Arabidopsis thaliana: one gene and its partner. The protein of the gene in region 1 interacts with the protein of each later gene in a biochemical or structural test. Each region holds a gene or a part of one and is shown on either strand. Other genes may lie near its edges. The genes, in order: TGG2 and MVP1.

The links.
Region 2: the proteins of TGG2 (region 1) and MVP1 form a complex in vitro, tested with the Arabidopsis thaliana proteins (one study listed by BioGRID).

The regions. Positions count from the first base shown.
Region 1 is NC_003076.8:9,067,860-9,078,299, forward strand, and holds TGG2 (glucoside glucohydrolase 2), read left to right. Parts: upstream 1-4,848; 5' UTR 4,849-4,870; coding exon 4,871-5,077; intron 5,078-5,174; coding exon 5,175-5,235; intron 5,236-5,401; coding exon 5,402-5,463; intron 5,464-5,548; coding exon 5,549-5,624; intron 5,625-5,717; coding exon 5,718-5,883; intron 5,884-5,986; coding exon 5,987-6,242; intron 6,243-6,334; coding exon 6,335-6,447; intron 6,448-6,551; coding exon 6,552-6,769; intron 6,770-6,873; coding exon 6,874-6,908; intron 6,909-6,984; coding exon 6,985-7,084; intron 7,085-7,174; coding exon 7,175-7,280; coding exon of another isoform or gene 7,281-7,284; intron 7,285-7,374; coding exon 7,375-7,618; 3' UTR 7,619-7,918; downstream 7,919-10,440. Other genes in the region: AT5G25970 (Core-2/I-branching beta-1,6-N-acetylglucosaminyltransferase family protein), read left to right, coding at 1-115; AT5G25990 (core-2/I-branching beta-1,6-N-acetylglucosaminyltransferase family protein), read right to left, coding at 8,248-8,332, 8,441-8,535, 9,395-9,520; AT5G25995 (uncharacterized protein), read left to right, coding at 8,972-9,160. UniProt on the Arabidopsis thaliana protein: May degrade glucosinolates (glucose residue linked by a thioglucoside bound to an amino acid derivative) to glucose, sulfate and any of the products: thiocyanates, isothiocyanates, nitriles, epithionitriles or oxazolidine-2-thiones.
Region 2 is NC_003070.9:20,162,380-20,171,782, forward strand, and holds MVP1 (GDSL-like Lipase/Acylhydrolase superfamily protein), read left to right. Parts: upstream 1-5,217; 5' UTR 5,218-5,305; coding exon 5,306-5,612; intron 5,613-5,692; coding exon 5,693-5,808; intron 5,809-6,118; coding exon 6,119-6,319; intron 6,320-6,397; coding exon 6,398-6,650; coding exon of another isoform or gene 6,651-6,715; exon of another isoform or gene 6,716-6,720; coding exon 6,721-7,097; 3' UTR 7,098-7,305; downstream 7,306-9,403. Other genes in the region: AT1G54020 (GDSL-like Lipase/Acylhydrolase superfamily protein), read right to left, coding at 1-79, 160-360, 434-552, 1,078-1,327; ESP (epithiospecifier protein), read right to left, coding at 8,616-9,403. UniProt on the Arabidopsis thaliana protein: Involved in organization of the endomembrane system and is required for endoplasmic reticulum morphology and organelle distribution. May act by inhibiting the formation of PYK10 complex by binding to GLL23 and exporting it from the ER.

The DNA of each region.
Region 1 (10,440 bases):
CAACTGCACTTACAATGGTGGCTACACATCCATGTGTTATCTCTTTGCTAGAAAGTTTTCTCCTAGTGCTTTGGAGCCTTTGGTTCAAATTGCACCCAAACTTTTGAGTTCTTGAGTAGGTAACGTCACTAAGAAAACTCATGAATTTAACATAGATATCATATAAATGTATGTGGAGTTGGGGTTAATTGGCTATTAAGGTGAGATTGAATAGTTAGTTTTGGTGGGAGGAGAGACTATTAAATTTCCACGTGTATGATCTTGGCAGGTTATAAAATCTCACTTAGTTGCTCTCTTTTTGTATTTTCAACTAGATTTTAAAACCCGCGGTATACCGCGGGGACAATTTATTTTTTTAAAAGTTAATATATATAAAAGTTTGCAAATTGTATCTATGTATAAAATATTTTTATTTTATAGTTTACAATTGTTATTAAGTAACGTCCTGCCAAACCCATCCCGCCAATCCGTCCCGTAAAAAAACCTATTTATTTTGTTAATGTTGATCTTATTTATGATATGTTTATGAATCATTGTTTAAACATTTTGTAATTTTGTAGTAATTAACTGTTATCAAATATCTCTACGGTTTGATGCTTATAATCGAATTATTATAGTCATGAAAAAAGCAATTTAAAAAATAATAATTTTGTAGTGTTTAAATGATATTAAATATTTTGGAAGTTTTATTTTAGTAACTAATTGTGTAGTTAATGTGGAGAGATTGTGGGAAAGTAGTTAAATGCAAATATTTAATCCTAAGATTTACTTTTTAATTATGAAAAACAATTATTAAATACCAATGACAACCATTGTAAATAAGTTTCAACTTGAGGATTTATTTAACAAAGTGGCTGCAAAAATGTATATGTAGATGGTATGGCATTGATGTATTACAACAAAGTTTGTAAGTAGTTTGTGCCACATCCATAAACAAAAAGCTCTTTCGTGAATGAATATTTGTTCTCAATAACCCGCAACATTTTCAAAGATGATAATCTACCACATTACTATTATTATATTGAATTTTAAGGTTTTGATTGGTTATTTGGTTACTAATAATGACAAAACATTTGGTTCTTTTGACTCACGCTCAAGAGAACCGATGTCTATCTCTTGTTTCGTTTTGGATTTGTTGTTATCGACTTACGCTTATGTAGGGTCGAAAGGTGTTTCTTGTTCCTTGGTTTTTGATTAATAAAACGAGAACTTCAAGTCTTTGATATCTCTGTTTTCTCAAGAAGAAAAATAACAATTGATGTTTATTATTATTTTAAATATAATTTAATATTAGATTAAAAAAACAAAAACAATTGATGCTTGATCCGGTATGGTTTAAACACTTTATAGGCCCAAAGGAATTATTAAATAGGCCCCTAAACATGTAAATTATAGAGTCAACTTTTCTAAAATTTATTGTTATATTTTTGTAAATGTTATAGCTAGAGGGAAAAAAATAGGGAATGTGACACGTTTAGACACTTTTAGAGAATTTTATTCCTTTTGAGGCACTTGTCAGGGATGAGGCACTTTTCCAACTTTTTCATTAAACTTTTGACCAATTTACCCCTGAAAATTAAAAAATTATAATTAAAAAAAAAGTTTCATCTCTCCACGTTCCTTTTTTTTCCTTCTTCTTCGTCGCTTCTTCTTTTCTCTCTCTCTCTCTTTCTCTCTCTTCTCATTATTACTTTTTTTTCTTTCCTTGCAAAATCAAACATTTAAGAGTTTATCAAAATCAAACATTTGAGAGTTTATGGAAAACCCAAGTTGGCAAATTCCAGTATTAAATTTCATATCCATTTGATCGCCTTGTTTGGTACAATTTGATTCTTTCTTGATAAATTGATGTTTCATTGAACGTCTAACCTTAAAAGCATATTCTTTTGCTTATGAGAATCACTTATTTCCACATGGTTACGTTTACGTGGACAAGTTATCATGGAGACAAACTAGCATAATTTTTATCTTCTCTGTCTTCCATGTTTTTTTTTTTTCATCATTTTTATTTTCTTTTTCAAAATCATCAATCATGGTGGTTCTCTATAATTCTTACAAATCATAGAAATTCTGAGATTATCTCAAAATTCTCTATCATAACTTAAAAACGAAGAATATATTAAGAATCAACAACAGAACATTGCTGCTACAATTGATCTTCTTACACGCTTTATATACTTAAACTTGAGTACTTGGACACTCATCAATGGACAACTATGCTTCAGATGTGAGTTACTAGATGACCACTTGGACTAGAGTGCTTGGACACTTATCAATGGACAACTATGCTTCAAATGTGAGTTAATAGATGACCATTTGGACTTGAATGCTTGGACACTCATCAATGGACAACTATGCCTCAGATGAAGTTACATCGACAATGGCCTTTTTGCTGCTACTCGCGTTCTCAACATCACGAACCGTTTCAAGCCCAGATTGCTTAGAAGGTAACTGATCATGGTTAACATCCTCACTTTTCATTGTAATCGATGACAGAGATTCCTTAATCAAGGAGAGAAATAAATGGAACCAAATCAAATAATTGTTGAGAGACAGGGAAGATGATGATAAATCATATGAAATTGGGTTTTTAGTTTTGATTTGGAATATTGAGATTCCCGTAAAAAATTGATTTTGATTTTGGAAAGAGAGAGAAATAAAGACGATGGAGAAAAGAGTTGAGAGAGAAAATGAGGAGAAAGCGTTGTGGTTCAGAGGGCAATTTAGGAATTTTGATTTGGTAAAGTGCCTTCTCCTTTCAAAGTGCCTATTTGTGGCTAAAGTTTCAAAATAGTGCCTATACGTGTAATATTCTCAAAAAATTATGAACTCCTTTTGGTTCTGTTTTATCCGCAAAATTTTCTTTTTTTTTTGCCTCTTTAACCTATAAATTTTCCTTTTATTTTTGTCAACAAAATATTCTCTAAACATTTTTAGCCATAGATATGTGTACGGTCGCATTATTAAACAATAACAACTGAACGTATTCGAACCAAAATTTTTAAAATAATCGAATGGTTAGTAAACTCCCTTATCCAAACTAGCCAAAACTGAACCAAACTGAACCGATGCTTAAACTATTAATTGACATATCCAAAACCCTAGAAAATACCCAAAAATAATATCCAAACTATAATTTTAAACTCAAAATACTAATTATTTTTAGAATCAAAACAATCAAGTACTTTAATTAATCAACATATTCAAATCTTGTTAATATTTATCAAAGTCAAATACTCTATTACAAAACTGAACCAAAATTTAATATTCTTTATAAATTTTTCCTTTTTTGTATTTTCTTTCCGTATTTTTTTGGTTAATTTCTTTTAGTTTCGGTTAATTTTGGTTATTTTGATAAAACCTAACCAAATCGAAAAGTAACCGAACAGAACCAAATCGAAATTCCTAAAATATCTGAATGGTTATTATATTAACATATCCGAACTAACCGATACTAAACGCAAACGAACCAAAACCGACTGGTTAATCGAATGCCATGCCTACCCTGACAAAACAACAAGATTGAAACCCTATATATTTTTTTAGTTAATATATATAAGAAATAAACCTATATTTTCTTAATGTATTTAAATATGAATAACCAATAAAAAAATGTAATGGTAACGAAAATATGACTGTTTTCAGATGAAAAGCACCTCCAATTATTTTGAAACGATTAAAAAGTGCAAAAAAAGTTTTTCCTTTTCTTTTGGAGGACGAGTCTCTGGTTTCATGTGATAAAAGCATCGTCGAGCGGCCACAATCCATAGGATATGTGATGTCAGCGGTGAGGTTCGTGATGAATTTACTTGTTTTTCTTAACGAACGCATTGTAACTCTAAATTAAACAGTCGAAAATATATCTATAAACGTTTTCAATAACTCTCTGGTGTTAATTCAAAACTCTATGCTCAACATTTTTTTTTTTTGGATAACTAGGAGATAATCCGGCTTTTTACCATCTCACTTCATCAAGATGAGTATAACCATCAAATGGCCAATTCACCGGATTTTCTAATAAGCGTAAAACATACGACTATTTCGACTAACCAAATGAACTGTACGTCCAATTTAATTAAGAGGCTTTGATGAGCATAATCTACTACAAGGAATCTTTGCCCAAAACACAAAAAAAAACAAACAAAATCTACTACAAGGAATCTTGATCCATATCCTTCTAGTTTTGCGCAAACCTGCGATGCATGCCATGCTAATCCCCAATCCAACCCAAATTGACGCGGCGGCATAGGCACAAGAAGAGATTAGGGGTGGCATTTGATCCCATAAAATTATTAAAATTTCGCGTACATTTTTGTCAAAAAAAAAAAAAAGTGGTGTAAATTCAATTGACCAGAAAATTAGCAAAATTTACCTTTTCCCACCAATAAATATTTGTTTGAAAAGGTAAATATTCATATTTATTTATTTGTATATTTTAACCATGATGAATGTTTTTATTATTATTCCCGTATTCCGGCACTGCTTGGCATCCGTGTGGTGTTGATTTGGTAGATGTCACACAACCCATTTCTCTTTACCAAATAAACTCTAAAAATAGAAATAATCAACGGTTTTTTTTTCTAATTTATATATCAAGAGTATATTTTAATTTTATTTTTAATCAACAGTTCACAGTTGAGAGCTTGAGATAAAGAAATTTTCATTATATCAAATATAATCTAACCCATTCTCAACGTGGGAAAAAGAATTAGTATCGGTGACACTGAGATAGAGTACGTGTACGTGAACCCTTGAACCCACGGGATTCATGTCACCTAAACCTCCGGAAAATAATAAGCACAATGTAATGCATAGGTCAGTACTCTTCTTTACAAAGGCTATATAAACCCTAGATTGGCACAAGGCTTCCATGCAACACAACACATACATCTACATATTAACCATGAAGCTTCTTGGGTTCGCCTTAGCTATTCTATTAGTTGTGGCGACTTGCAAACCTGAAGAAGAGATTACTTGCGAAGAGAACGTTCCATTCACATGTAGCCAAACAGATCGTTTCAACAAACAAGATTTCGAAAGCGACTTCATCTTCGGTGTTGCATCTTCTGCTTACCAGGCATGTAACAAAAGTACACATTGTATTGCCAGACCGAAATGATTTAACGTCAAAACTCTAAAATCCAACGTTGCATGGTTGTTTCTTTTCATTTCAGATCGAAGGCGGCAGAGGTCGTGGACTTAACGTTTGGGATGGCTTCACTCACCGATACCCAGGTTTGTCATTTGCATGATTCCTATAAATTAAGTTTTACGTATCCATATGATTTTTTTTTTGTCCAAATGACGTATCATATTACGTATCCATATGATATGAAATATTTCTTATGTATATATGTCTCTATACATTCATAGTAATGTCATTATATACGTACGCTATCAGAGAAAGGTGGAGCCGATTTGGGCAATGGAGACACTACTTGTGACTCATACCGGACTTGGCAGGTTAATTTCTCATCACTATATATATGCACTGAATGATCTATTAACTGCGTGTGGATTAACATATGATTTTGTATATAAACTGCAGAAAGATCTAGACGTGATGGAAGAGCTTGGAGTTAAAGGCTACAGATTCTCCTTTGCGTGGTCAAGAATCCTTCCAAGTATGTACACATTATTGATCCATATATGTATATAGTAACATTGGATTGTGATTGTTTGGAAGAGTATTAAATATACAATATATAAATGAGCAGAAGGAAAGAGGAGTAGGGGAATCAACGAAGATGGTATTAACTACTACAGCGGTCTCATAGATGGCCTGATCGCAAGGAACATAACGCCTTTCGTTACACTCTTTCACTGGGACCTTCCTCAATCATTGCAAGATGAATATGAAGGTTTCTTGGACAGAACGATCATGTATGTTATTGATGTCATGCTGCTTAATAAGAAAGATTACAAAATACGTAAATATTTGAAATTGCATTAAGGAAATGATTATATATATATAAAATATGCGCAGAGACGATTTCAAAGATTACGCGGATCTATGTTTCGAGAGATTTGGTGATAGAGTAAAGCACTGGATCACCATCAACCAGCTTTTCACAGTGCCTACGAGAGGCTATGCATTGGGAACAGATGCACCCGGTCGATGTTCCCAATGGGTGGATAAAAGATGTTACGGTGGAGATTCTTCCACCGAACCCTATATCGTTGCGCATAACCAGCTTCTTGCTCATGCCACGGTCGTTGATCTATACAGGACGAGATATAAGGTCAGGTCTCCAATATTTGTGAAAGGTGCATGTGATGTAATACTATAATATTTTAATTAATATTGTGTATATATATGTCTATGTGACCACAGTACCAAGGAGGGAAGATTGGACCTGTGATGATAACTAGATGGTTTCTACCATATGATGACACTCTAGAGAGCAAACAAGCAACTTGGAGGGCCAAAGAATTCTTCTTGGGATGGTATATATCAATATCCAAAAATAAAATGATTTTTTTTTTTATAAATGAAATGATTTTAAAAATTAATATGTAAATTAATAAAAATATGTATGTACGTACATCAGGTTCATGGAGCCGCTAACAAAGGGTAAATACCCATACATCATGAGGAAACTTGTTGGTAATCGGCTTCCAAAGTTCAACAGCACAGAAGCTCGCCTTTTAAAGGGTTCATATGATTTTCTTGGTCTCAACTATTACGTCACTCAATACGCCCACGCCCTTGACCCAAGTCCTCCGGAAAAACTCACTGCCATGACGGACTCACTCGCAAACCTTACATGTACCACTCTCTATATACTTTCATTTCATTAGTTACAACCTTTCTATATTTTGGTAATCACAACATTTTGTGACCATCAAGTTATATCATCCTTGTGTTTACAGCTCTTGATGCAAATGGTCAACCCCCTGGTCCACCGGTATGCATGATTCACCCTTATTATTTCATTCATTTTACGCAAAATATTATGATTCATAGTATCTTCTCTTTCTCAGTTCTCTAAAGGCAGTTATTACCACCCAAGAGGGATGTTAAACGTAATGGAGCACTTCAAAACCAAATACGGTGACCCTTTAATCTATGTCACCGAGAACGGTTAGTTCTACTACTCATCTCTTTCATCTATACATGTTAAGTGTATTTCAAAAATGGTTCAAGATATTGACTCAAATACTGTGGAATTAGGATTCAGTACCTCCGGTGGCCCCATACCCTTCACCGAAGCATTTCACGATTACAACCGGATTGATTATCTCTGCAGTCATCTATGTTTTCTCCGCAAGGCCATCAAGTGAGTGGATGCTACTCTTCTTTAGTTGTTCTTTATCCATATCAATATAACATATTTATGATCAGTCAATCATTCAAAACGTTCTTGTTTCTAGGGAGAAGCGTGTCAACGTGAAAGGATACTTTGTTTGGTCTCTTGGGGATAATTACGAATTCTGCAACGGCTACACCGTCAGATTCGGACTTAGTTACGTTGATTTCAATAATGTCACTGCTGATAGAGACCTCAAAGCTTCTGGCTTATGGTACCAGTCGTTCTTGAGAGATACCACCAAGAACCAAGATATCCTCCGCTCAAGTCTGCCCTTTAAGAACGGGGATAGGAAGAGCCTCACATGAAAGACCAAAACCACTTTATGCCCATCGAGATCATCTTCATGTCTCTTCTTTCTACTTGCTCCATAGATAAAAGGAGCTTCTACCTACTGTATTAAATAAAAGATGATCAAACTTAATAAATATTTTGTATACTACATTATGCCATGGGATGGGGAAAAATCCGATGAAACCAAAATTGAACTAAACTCGAAATGCTTAGTTGTTTATCATTTTAAAACCAAAACTAAAAAACCGAAACTGAAATTTGTTTAAAAACTAATTTTTTTTTGTTTTCTTAAAAACAAGAGAGCAAAAAAAAACGAACCAAAAATTGTTTAGTGTAACCAGATAACAAAATCTATTTGTTTTCAACTTTAATTACATTTTCATATTTTATAGGGGAAGACGGAGATATGATGTACAACATAAAAGAATGATGTAAAGTTCAAAGAATGTTTTAAGGAAGATGATGGATTAGTTAATATCTTAAACTAAGTTTCCTTATACTTCATTTTTAACTTCTATCAAAGATAACTACATCTTTTAATATTATTTTATATATTTGATACTCCTATTTCTTTACATTTCGGTGTGTTTACATACAAATTTGTTTGTGTATAACTTAAAATGAGTTAAAATGTAATTTCCATCTAAAACCACTGAGACCCTTTTCTCCATTGGTCTATGGAAACTTCAGGGGCCATGTTGCCGTAGTAGCGGCCTCGGCCATAGGCACTGGGATGATCAAATTAACCTATAAAGCTATGCTCTGATTCGGTTATGTACGTGTAGATAGTTGTGAAGTTGAATAGGGGAATGCATGACTCGGTGAGGAGAACAAACCATTCGTTTGAGATATCGAGTAGCGCATAGGCATAGAGGGTGAAGTTTTCATGTCCACGCCGAGTCAACTCGAAAGTTTGTGCTAAAGTAGAAGTCTAGAAGGATATATATGCATCAAAATTTCTTGTAGTAGAATAATTGATAATGACATATAATAGATTTTTAAAATTTTATCGGGGTCAACTGACCCTCCTATCAAAGCCATGCCTCCGCCACTGCCGAGGATACTAAGACCATCCTCAATGGTAGTATATTAACAAGGGTTTTTAGCAATTTTTTAATTATTAATTTTGAAACTGTTAAACTTAGAGCTTGGGTAAGAATTTTAGTTTTTAGCATTGTCCAATGGTAGTATTTTAAATTGGGTTCTTAAAAAAAGAGTCAAATTTTTTTGGTGTAATTGGTGTTTGAAGAGTTGATAATCACATCAAAACTTGTCAAATGCAAAACATAGATTCATGATCTACGTACACATATTTAATTTGAGTGACTATAATTCAGAGATTCAGGTACAACATATTAAAGCTAAATATGATGATGCTTGCAATAAAGCTTAACCTTGTGAGCTATGAAAACCTTAATAGCAGCATAGTTTTCTCAACAGATTCAGTGAAAGGAATCTCAGGAGCGTATGTGACGAAATCGGAGAGGTTACGGAGAACAGCTGATTTCATCAAACAGTGGGATTCAATATCTTGCATGGTGGAGCCACCGGGTTAGAGTGTTGAGAGCCACCAAAAAATCCATTGCTTCAGTGTAAACCAATTTGAACTCCACAACTAACCTCAATAGCTTACTGGTAAACTCTTAAACCTCATAGCAGAACGATATTATATAACAATAACATATATCCTACAATTGAAATAGAAAAGAGAGAACACATAATCATCATATACATTAAAACAGGAGCAAAATTGAATTATAAATAGAAGAACTGAAAGGATAAATACTCACCATAACATTGTGATGAAGCTGATCAGGAAGCTTCTTGACGAGATTGTCGTTTTGTTGAAGACGAACTCGCCGATTAGATGAACGAAAGTCACCGTGGAGAGCCAGTGTAGGTGGAGATGATGACATAACGGCGGAAGGATGGCCGAAGTTCAGAAAAATTAGAGACTCCTTCGATTGTTTCAATTTGAGGCAGAGATACAGAGAAGGAATCGAGTTAAAGAGATAGAGAGAAGGAAGAGGAAGAGGAAGAGAGTAGATTTTTTTGCTTTTATATTTCTTCCTCACTTTCTTAATGAGCGACACGTGCCGCCTCTTACTTTAATTTTTTAGCTCTTACCTAAGAGGCGCTCTTGAGATAATACCCATTAAAACATTAATTTTAAATAGGATTAAACATAAGAACCAGCTTAAAACCTTGCGTTGCGGATGCTCTAAGGTTTCGAAACAGAATCGTTCACACTGGTTACAGAATTTGACCGAGCCGCCAAAAGAGAAGTGAAGTAGTGCCCTTTATTAACGCTGGAATTCCTCGATGGAATTTGATGTCTCTGGTGATTTTAACTAGTTCCGAGCTCTAATTTCTGTTTTATGTGATGTTTTGATTTTTATAGTCCATTTTGCCAAAGTTAATGTATATTAAAAAAAATAATACAAAATCCAAAAAATATTGTAGTTCTAAGTGCTGCGGCGGGACTAGATTATAAGGTGTGCTACTATACATTGGTTTGTTTTTTCCAAAGTTTTTCTTTTCTTTTTAACATTCTATTCTCTTGTACCTAATCATTTAACATCTATTAAATTTTAACTTCTACAATGATTTATTTAATAATAAAATCCAGCATCCTACCCCATAATTTTTTTAATCTCATATTCTGATTTTCTTAAATATTTTTAGTTACATATTAAAATAACTTATCAAGTGAAATTAAATTAAGGTAACTAAAATTTAATTAAATTTGTCATTTATTTTATAATCTTATTGTTGAGATGTATTTTTTAAAGAGATGTCTGAAAGTTAAAACAAAAGTGTATGTGAAGATAATAAA
Region 2 (9,403 bases), on another chromosome or scaffold:
CTTGTCTTGCGATCGGTAAACAACCTAATGGCGCTAGCAAGTGTACGACGAATTTACTAGCTCCAGATGAATACAACAACTGCAATTAATCATTATAACAACATATCTATATCACTAACTCGTATTAATTTTTGATTAGTTTTGGATGAAAATACTTACGTTGATATCACTCTTAAACCGGTTAGTGACAGAAGTAACGAAAGCTTGTTGAGCAGAAACTTCAGCATTAGGATTGTTTTTGGTAAAGTTGTAGTAATCTTCCATACCAATGCTAATCATAAACACTGATTTCTGAATGTAATCCACTTTCCAATTTGATATCATCTGATTGAATTTCCTCACTTGTTGATTCAGAGCCAACTACCAAAAAAATGTGAATCTTTATTATGACATTGCTTTACGATTGATTAACAAATATTTTAAGTGAGCTTACAGAATCTTTTGGAGATCCAAGAATGGAAGCGGACCCGACGGCGAAGCTGGCTCCTCGTGACACATCGGTGCCGGGTTTTAGCGCCGGCGGTAAATCGTGTGGTATCCCCATGAATTTTGCTGTGATTTATTCACCCCTCATCAATTTCATATATCTTTAATTACCAATCAAAATTTCCATTTAGTATAGAGTACCTATAAAAACGAGTAGCTAGTTTTCTTAATGGTTAAATGATATGCATTATAGCATTATACCTATAAAGAGCGTGTTCATCTTGTATACGTTGTTAAAATATTAAAGAAATCAGGCTGATTCAGATTGAGACCTTTGAAAAAACAATTACTAGCCCGTTACGTTTTTACCAACTTTTCACACATTATAAAAGAGTTTGCAATATTGAAGTACCCGTTGCAATTGCTTATTTTTAATCGAACTCATTATAAAATCATTTATTGATTTAAGTAAAATATTTAACAACTGTATTGGGACAGAATTTTAACATGAAGGATAACAAATAAGCATCAATCCACAAACCATATGTTGTCCTCTATATGTTTACTTGGGATTAGAAAGATATAATAAAACAATCTGATTCCTTTTGAAAAAATTAAAAGTGTAAAATAGAGATAAATTTACAAACTTACCAATAAAGTCCGGGACAATTTTGCCATCAGAAAACTTGCCCTTAGGGTCATCTCGAGATTTACCGTAAGGCCAAAAGTTTTGAGGAAGTGGAGCACTTGTGAGGAACTTTTTATTTCCAGCGTCGAAGTTGGAATCTCCGAAAGTGAACAAACCCACCGCCGGAAGATTCTGCCCGGAGATGGTGACAAGGTTATGAAGGAGAGGAAATACCAGTAATATTCCTAGTACACTCACTGAACTACACTCCATTTTCAGTTAACCAGAAGGAAGAATGATGAGGTACAATAAGTTCCTCGGTCCTCTAATATATTTATATTGTAAAATATTTGGAAATAAAAGAGCTTTTAACATGTTCTATAATTGATGACAAAAAAAAAAGAATGTTCTATAATTAAAGATTAAACGAACTCAGTTTAAAATAAAGAAAAAAGTTTGGGGAAAAAATATCTAATAAAAATATAAACGTTAGAAAATATATATTTATTGTAAACGTTAAGAGCTGTTACGTAATTATAGAACAAACAAAAAAACAATTATGTAACACAATTTTTTAAGAAAATAAAACGTTTCGCAAAAATGTCATGTAAAATCATTGTTAGCAAAAGAAAACCACAACGCCGTGAATATTCAATCTCTCACGTTTTTGCTATGTCTTATATCAATTGAAACTAACTAGTTAGTTTCTACAGTTCTTCTACCTAGACACGTTTGTTCTATTTTTAATAAGGTTGAGAAAGATGTTTTTCTTTTTCCTTTTGTCAAAAAGTTGCTGCTCTAGAAAGCAGAACACACTTGAGCATTGAGCGACCAAAAAAAGAAGAAGAAAGACTTGAGCAATGATTAATGTTTTTTCTCTCACAGTTTTTAAATTACCCTTAATAATTTTTTTTGTTAACCCTTAATAATTAATGTATTCAAGTTTTGTTGAACCAAAACATCATTTATTTTCAAGAGATTTTTTTAATAGTCTTTATCTTGTTAAAAATAACTTCTTCTTTTTGTTAAAAATAATTAAAAGAGCACCAATGTATATTCAACTAAACTACAAATCTTAAAAAGTAAAAACTGAATCCTATACTTTCTAACCGAATCTTAAACATGAATTCCTAAATCCCTAAAACCTTATTTAAACCCTTTATCCATGCTTCAAAGTTTCAAATTCTTTACAACTAATCAGTATAAATTGATCTGACTCAAACTCAAATATATATGCATATATATATATATATAATATTAATGATATAGAAAAAAATGAAGAAACTCAAAATCACGGGTCCATCAAACTGCGACATGATAATGATTAAAAAAAAAAAGTTGCGACAAGATAAATCTCAATTTGTTTTTGCATTTTTGAAGAAATATGTTAGTTAGAAACAGGGGCGGACCTATTTAGGAAAAAGGGGGGTCACTTGACACCCTCAACTCCGGGATCAAATCTCTAGCATAACACTTTTGCTTCTTTTTTCTCCATTTAGCTTTAAATACATGTATTTTTATTGTCTTATATACATTTTTTCTTTTAGATATTACACTAATTAATATACTATTTATAATTGCCTATGAAAATGCCACTGGTTAGAAGATATTTAGTCATGTAGAACAACCTGTTAGTTATAGGGGAAAATGCTATTGTAATTCACATTTTTATTTTATTTCTCAACCACCACCAACACATGCATGTGTGTTGTTGTGCCCACACTTTTTCAATAAACTTAAAATCAAGTAAACTTAATAAAAATTATAGTAAGTATAAAATGATATGGACCAAATCTATGAATAAGTTTAGTTTAAATAGTAGATTTGTAAGATATTCATTATGTTTTATAAAAAGTGTAATAATGACATGTTTTTGATAAACTATCTTAATAATGACATGTTTCACACAAATTAAGATAATTACGCAAATTTTTACTATATCACATGACTAAATTTTTTAATAAGCTGTAAAGAAAAACTATATCAGAAAACATAAAACAGCTCACTACTGGCCAAAAAAAGTGTTAAAATGTTAGTCAAAATTTCAAAAAAGAAAATATGATACGTACATGAAATTAATTAATTAATTCCATAACATTCGTAGAAGCAATACGTTATCGCCAATCAATAATTTGACTAATTCAAAATATCGTTTTCGTTATCGAGGTGAACACATGGAGCTGCTGATCCATGAATGAAGTTACAATCTTGTATCCAAATAAAATAATTATTTATGCCCTCAGGCCACCGAAAAAAATTAAAAATATGGCCACATAGCGACAATTTCGTGATAAAACAAATATATTAATATAATATACATATATATATATATATTAAACTAGTATAAAAGTAAATTTTATAGTACCTATCACATAAATTGTCAAAGATAAAATTAGTTATTGATAATACAATGACTATGTTATCTTTATTTAAAAAATTAAATTAATTTAAATATTTCTAAACAATTCTAAATCAACATCATAGTATGATAAGTTTACATTTTTCTGAGCGTAATATTGAATTATTTTTCAACATTTTTGTGATTTGAGTTGGAACAATATCTACTCCATTTGTTCCACCAAATTTGATATTGTGAGATTTTCACACAAATTAAGAAAAACAACTTTTATATTTTAAAATTATTGTTTTGTTAGTTTAATAATATTAACTATATATCTCTCTTCTTTTTATTGGTCAGCAATAAAAAAATTAATGATGTGATATAGAACATCAATCTTTGTGAAACAAGAAAAAAAATAATTTTTAACACTAAATTTATGCACTAGTGGAACATTTGAAAATGTGTGTTATTTTTAGAAACAAAACTTATTTTTGTATTATTTGTGAGAATTTTTCAAATATAAATTACTTCTATATAACTTTTTGAAAATAATTTAATCTTTAAAAGAAAAATATTAATCTCTTAACACTAAATTTATGCTATTAGTAGAACATTTGCAAATGTGTGTTATTTTTAGAAACAAAACTTATTTTTGTTGTGAGAAACTAAGAATTCCTCAAATATAAATTACTCATATATATAAGTTTTGAAATTTATAAGCTAATATTTTTTGTAATAATTGGTTTATTTTGATTCCAAATTCAGTTTTCAAATTCAAGTTCAAAATTGTTTGTAATCTTTGAAAATAAACATGAGAAAAATACTATAAAACTTTTCTAAATAAAATAATAATTTTATCATTTGTTCACATGGAAGTGGATGTAAAATGAAGTTATACTAGATTTTAACCCGCGGTATACCGCGGTGACAATTTATCTTTTTAAAGTTAGTATAACTTTTTTTTGCAAATTATATCTGTCTATAATATATTTTTATTTTATACTTTACAATTATTATTAAGAACGTCTTGCCAAACCCGTCCCGCCAAACCCGTCCCGTAAAAAAAACATTTATTTATATTAATGTTGATCTTATTTCTGATATGTTTATAAATTATTGTCTAAATATTTTTGTCGATGCGGGACGTTGAACCCACACATTTTTTGCCAGTTGGTTAATATATGTTTATTTTAAAAAATTTGAATCATAAAATATGACAGAAAAAATTAAGATTTTTTTAAACTCTATATATTATATAATGATGTTAAACAATTGTGATATATCAAACTTTTTATAAGTTTAAATATTAATAATGTTTTATAAATTTTATATATATAAATAATAATATTTTAAAAATAATATTTTTGCTTATAAGGTAATGACATAATAACTCTAAAAGCAAGGATTTAGAAGATTTAAATCTTTAATTAAATATTTTCATTGATAAATAATTAATGTCAGTAACATGACATTGTAAATAAGTTCAAATACAAAATTTATTTATTTAAACAAAAAACGTTTAGTAAGAATAATATTTATTTAACAAAAAACTTTGTTTTAAAATATTGTTAGCAAATATATTTATGCTAATTTTAAGGGATTAATTTGAAGTTTGTTGGGATTAAATTTGATTGATAATGTGATTGACAATTTAAATCAAAAATTTAAAGTAAAATTAATTATTTTGGAAAAAAGATTTAATGCTAATGGCATTAGATTGTAAATAAGTGTCAAGTAGAGGATTTATTTGCTAAAATGGCTGCAAAAATGTATATATAAATTAAAAATATGAAATAATTTAATATGACTAAAATAAAATAATGCCACTTCTAAAGGACTAACGAAAGAATAGTCTTCTTGTAATAATATTCTTTTAAAAAAATAGAAACGTTGGTCACGAGGCCTCATCAATGCTTTTGATACCTTCCTTCACCGCAAATTCTAACGAACCACCACCGTCGAAGCTTTCTCTTTCCGATCTTTCAATGGCGATTCTCAAATCTCACTTCTTCTTACTCTTCCCTCTTCTTCTTCTCCACTTTCACACTGTCTCCTTTGCTCAGACGCTCTTTGTGTTCGGAGATGGTCTTTACGACGCCGGAAACAAACAGTTTCTCTCTCAGAACCGAGTTGACGCAAGCTTTCCTCCTTATGGAGTCACTGTAGGACAAGCCACCGGACGGTGGTCCGATGGTTCTATCGTTCCTGATTATCTTGGTAATTGTATTGATCACTTCAAATATCTATAACTATTTATTCATTTGTGTTTAATTTGATTGTTTTTTTTTTTCCTTTAGCTAAATTCATGGGAATTCCTAAAATCTCTCCGATTCTCCTAACCACGGCGGATTTTTCTCACGGAGCTAATTTCGCCATCGCCGACGCTACCGTTCTTGGCTCTCCTCCGGAGACGGTCAGTTTTTTTTTTGTTTTGCCACCGCTAATTTCTCTGTAGTAATTTAAATTCACTTGCTGGATTTCATTTTATGGTTCTTACTTTGATTCTTGCAACTTTAGAATTAAGTATTGTAGCCAAGTCAAAATCTGGAATTGAGTTTGACTTCTGTGGTCTCTAATGCAAAACCGATGTTATCTAGAAACAATCTAAAACTTGAGAAAAAAAAACAGAAAATTCTAAAACTTGAGATTGCAAAAGTATAGTGTTAGGTCAAATCTTGAAGGAGTTTTAGGTTAAAATAGATCTTTGAATGATTTTTATACAGATGACTTTGTCACAACAAGTGAAGAAATTCTCGGAAAACAAGAATAAGTGGACAAATCAAACACGTTCTGAAGCTATCTACTTGATCTACATTGGTTCTGATGATTACTTGAGCTATGCTAAGAGTAATCCAAGTCCATCAGATACTCAGAAACAAGCTTTTGTTGATCAAGTCATCACTACCATAAAAGCAGAAATAAAGGTTAGAACTCGCAGCAGCTACAACATCTAAGCTTTGATTAGCAGTTTTCAATATTTTTTATTTGTTTTCGTATTTCAGGTGGTTTACGGGTCTGGCGGAAGGAAATTCGCATTCCAGAACTTGGCACCGTTAGGTTGCTTACCGGCCGTGAAACAAGCAAGCGGAAATGTTCAAGAATGTGTGAAATTGCCTTCGGAAATGGCTGCTTTGCATAACAAGAAACTTTTGCAGCTCTTGGTTGAACTATCAAGAGAACTAAATGGTTTCCAGTACTCGTTTTACGACTTCTTTAGCTCGATCCAAAACAGAGTTATCAAGTCTAAGACTTATAGTAAGCCTTTTATCATCATCGTCACGATAACGTTTTACAAACGTTTTGACATCTGTCTTGTCTGATGCAGCATTCGAGACAGGAAACGCTGCTTGTTGTGGAACTGGCTCTATCAACGGGAGTAATTGCTCAGCTAAAAATGTATGCGCCAAGCCTGAAGAGTATATCTTCTTTGATGGTAAGCATTTGACGCAAGAAGCCAACCTTCAGGTCGGGCATTTGATGTGGGGAGCAGATCCGGAAGTGATTGGACCGAACAATATCAGGGAGCTTATGGTCCTTCCTCTAGACATTACAGTCATCTTAGCTGGTATACAAGAAGCTATGGCTGCCATGAGACCGAGACAGAGCAACATTGAGAGTCTCTATGATATCAAGAAGATGGAGTCAGAGATGGATAATCATTGGCTTTATCAAGTTGACAAAGCTATCTCCTTTATGATATAAGATTGTGGTTACAGTTTGATTTAAGCGAGAGAGTTTAAGAGCTAGTGTAACAAAGAACTAGCAAGAAAACTGAAACATCCATTTTTCTTGTTTAGTAATAAAACAATCAACCTTATTAAGTCAATTAGAAGCTTTACTGGACCATTTCCATGGGTCCAATATAGCCCATTAGTATTGTCTCACTCAGTTTCCGTAGCCCCAATTTAGCCCACTTGGCTTCTTATTCGGTGTTAAAACATAAGATTTAAGACCATCTGAGAAAAATCAAATGACAATTTTGTAGGAATTTCACTGTATTGTCTTAAACACGTACTTAAAAGACTCATACTGGCATGTACTTATGGTAATTTTTACAATGACAACAAATTTAAAACAGGTTATATAAAATTGGCTCTTTATTAGTAATAAACTAATAATTAACACGACTAACCACAAAAACAACATAAACCTTAACATATGCATTAAGCTGAATTGACTGCATGTATAGAAGTAGATATCATCAGCACGGCCGTTGGTCGGAAGCTTTCCGCCATGTACGAAGATACCTCTTTTTCCATAGATGGTGGCAGTGGTGTAGGCAGTGCCGGGTTAAGTAAAAAGGCGGACAATGCGACCGCCCTATATCCGGGAAATTTTCTTTAAAAAAAAAAAATGAGCACAATATTTTTTTTTGTATATACCAAAGAGGTACAAAAAAAAAATTATACATGCAAAAGAGACACAAAATATATATGTTTAAATTTTTTGCTATAAGGCACATAAATGGTATGAGCCGGCACTGGGTGTAGGTGGTCCAACCACGTGGCATCTCCGGTTCATTTCCTCCTCCAAACTTCTCCCAGACTTGTCTCAGTGTTCAACGCATCACCTTCGGTAGACAACGTCCCTGGACGGCTGGACCTTAATGTGCCTTTGGGTCTCGCCAGATCTCACCTCCAAATATTATTATATGTTTTCCCGCTGTTGCATATGCAAACACGCTCATTGCTGAAGGCTTTGCTCCCGTACTCTCTACTTCTGTGTCTGTCAACTTTCCAAAAGCGGGATCCAAGAATTGCACAGCATTAGACTCGTAGTCACTTTTCCCTCCAGGCAAACTTGAAGTCACAAACCCATAAACCACCCAAATCATGACTTGCGCCACAAGGAATCCCGCACCTCTACCCAAACTCGTAGTCACAAATTTCATGCTACGGTATATGTTAAGACTTAAAAGTTAAAACCATTGAGAGAAAATAAATGATAATACGATAAAGTTGTAGATAATTCAATCTTTAATTATTAACACATACACATAATTTGTAATAAAACAGCCAGCCATAAATAAATTGGCTCCTTATTGGACAATGATACTTAAGGAACCACTCACACAACCATGAGTAGGCCTCATTAGAGTAAAAAAGCTCGACGAGTCCCACACACAGATAATTTGTAATAATACAGCAAACCATTAGGGCTCCTTATTGGATAGTAATAAATATTAACGAGCCACACACACAACACAAATCTTGACACGCATTAAGCTGAATTGACCGCATAGAAGTAGAGATCATCAGTTCGCTCGTTGGTCGGAAGCTTTCCGCCATGCATGAGGAGGCCATTCTTTCCATCGACAGTGGCAGCAGTATAGGCAGTCCAACCTCGTGGTATGGCTGGTGCACCTTCTTCTCCCAACTTTTCCCACACCAGTGTCTCGGTGTCCAACGCATATCCCTCATTGGACAGCGTCCCGGGACCATAATGCCCATTGAGATCAGGCCATACCTCACCTGCAAATATTATTATATACTTTCCCACTACCGCATGGGCAAACACGCTCCTTGCGGAAGGTTTCGCTCCTGTAGTCTCTACTTCGGTCCACTTTTTGGAAGCCGGATCATAGAATTGCACAGCATTAGACTCATAGTCATCTTTGCCTCCGGGCACAATCGAGGTCGCAAACCCATAAACCACCCAAATCTTCCCTTGTACCACAGCGAATCCCGCTCCTCCTCTTTTCTCGAAGTTATCTCCTGGATCCGGTAGCTGAGCCCATTTCCCATCAGCAATGTTATACGCCTCGATTGTCCTGAACCGCGTGGGAGTATTCATAGTACCGCCTTTGCTCACCCCACCGAATACATACACATGGTTTTCATCCGAAGCCATCGAATGGAAAGTACGAGCCTCGGGTCCTCCCACCTCATCAAGCTTCGTCAGGAATGTCCACTCGGATGTCACCGTATCGTAGGAGCGAAAGTTTTCGAAGTTGCGGTTCTCATCGCGGCCTCCAAAGATATAGATCTTAGTTCCCACGGCCACCATGC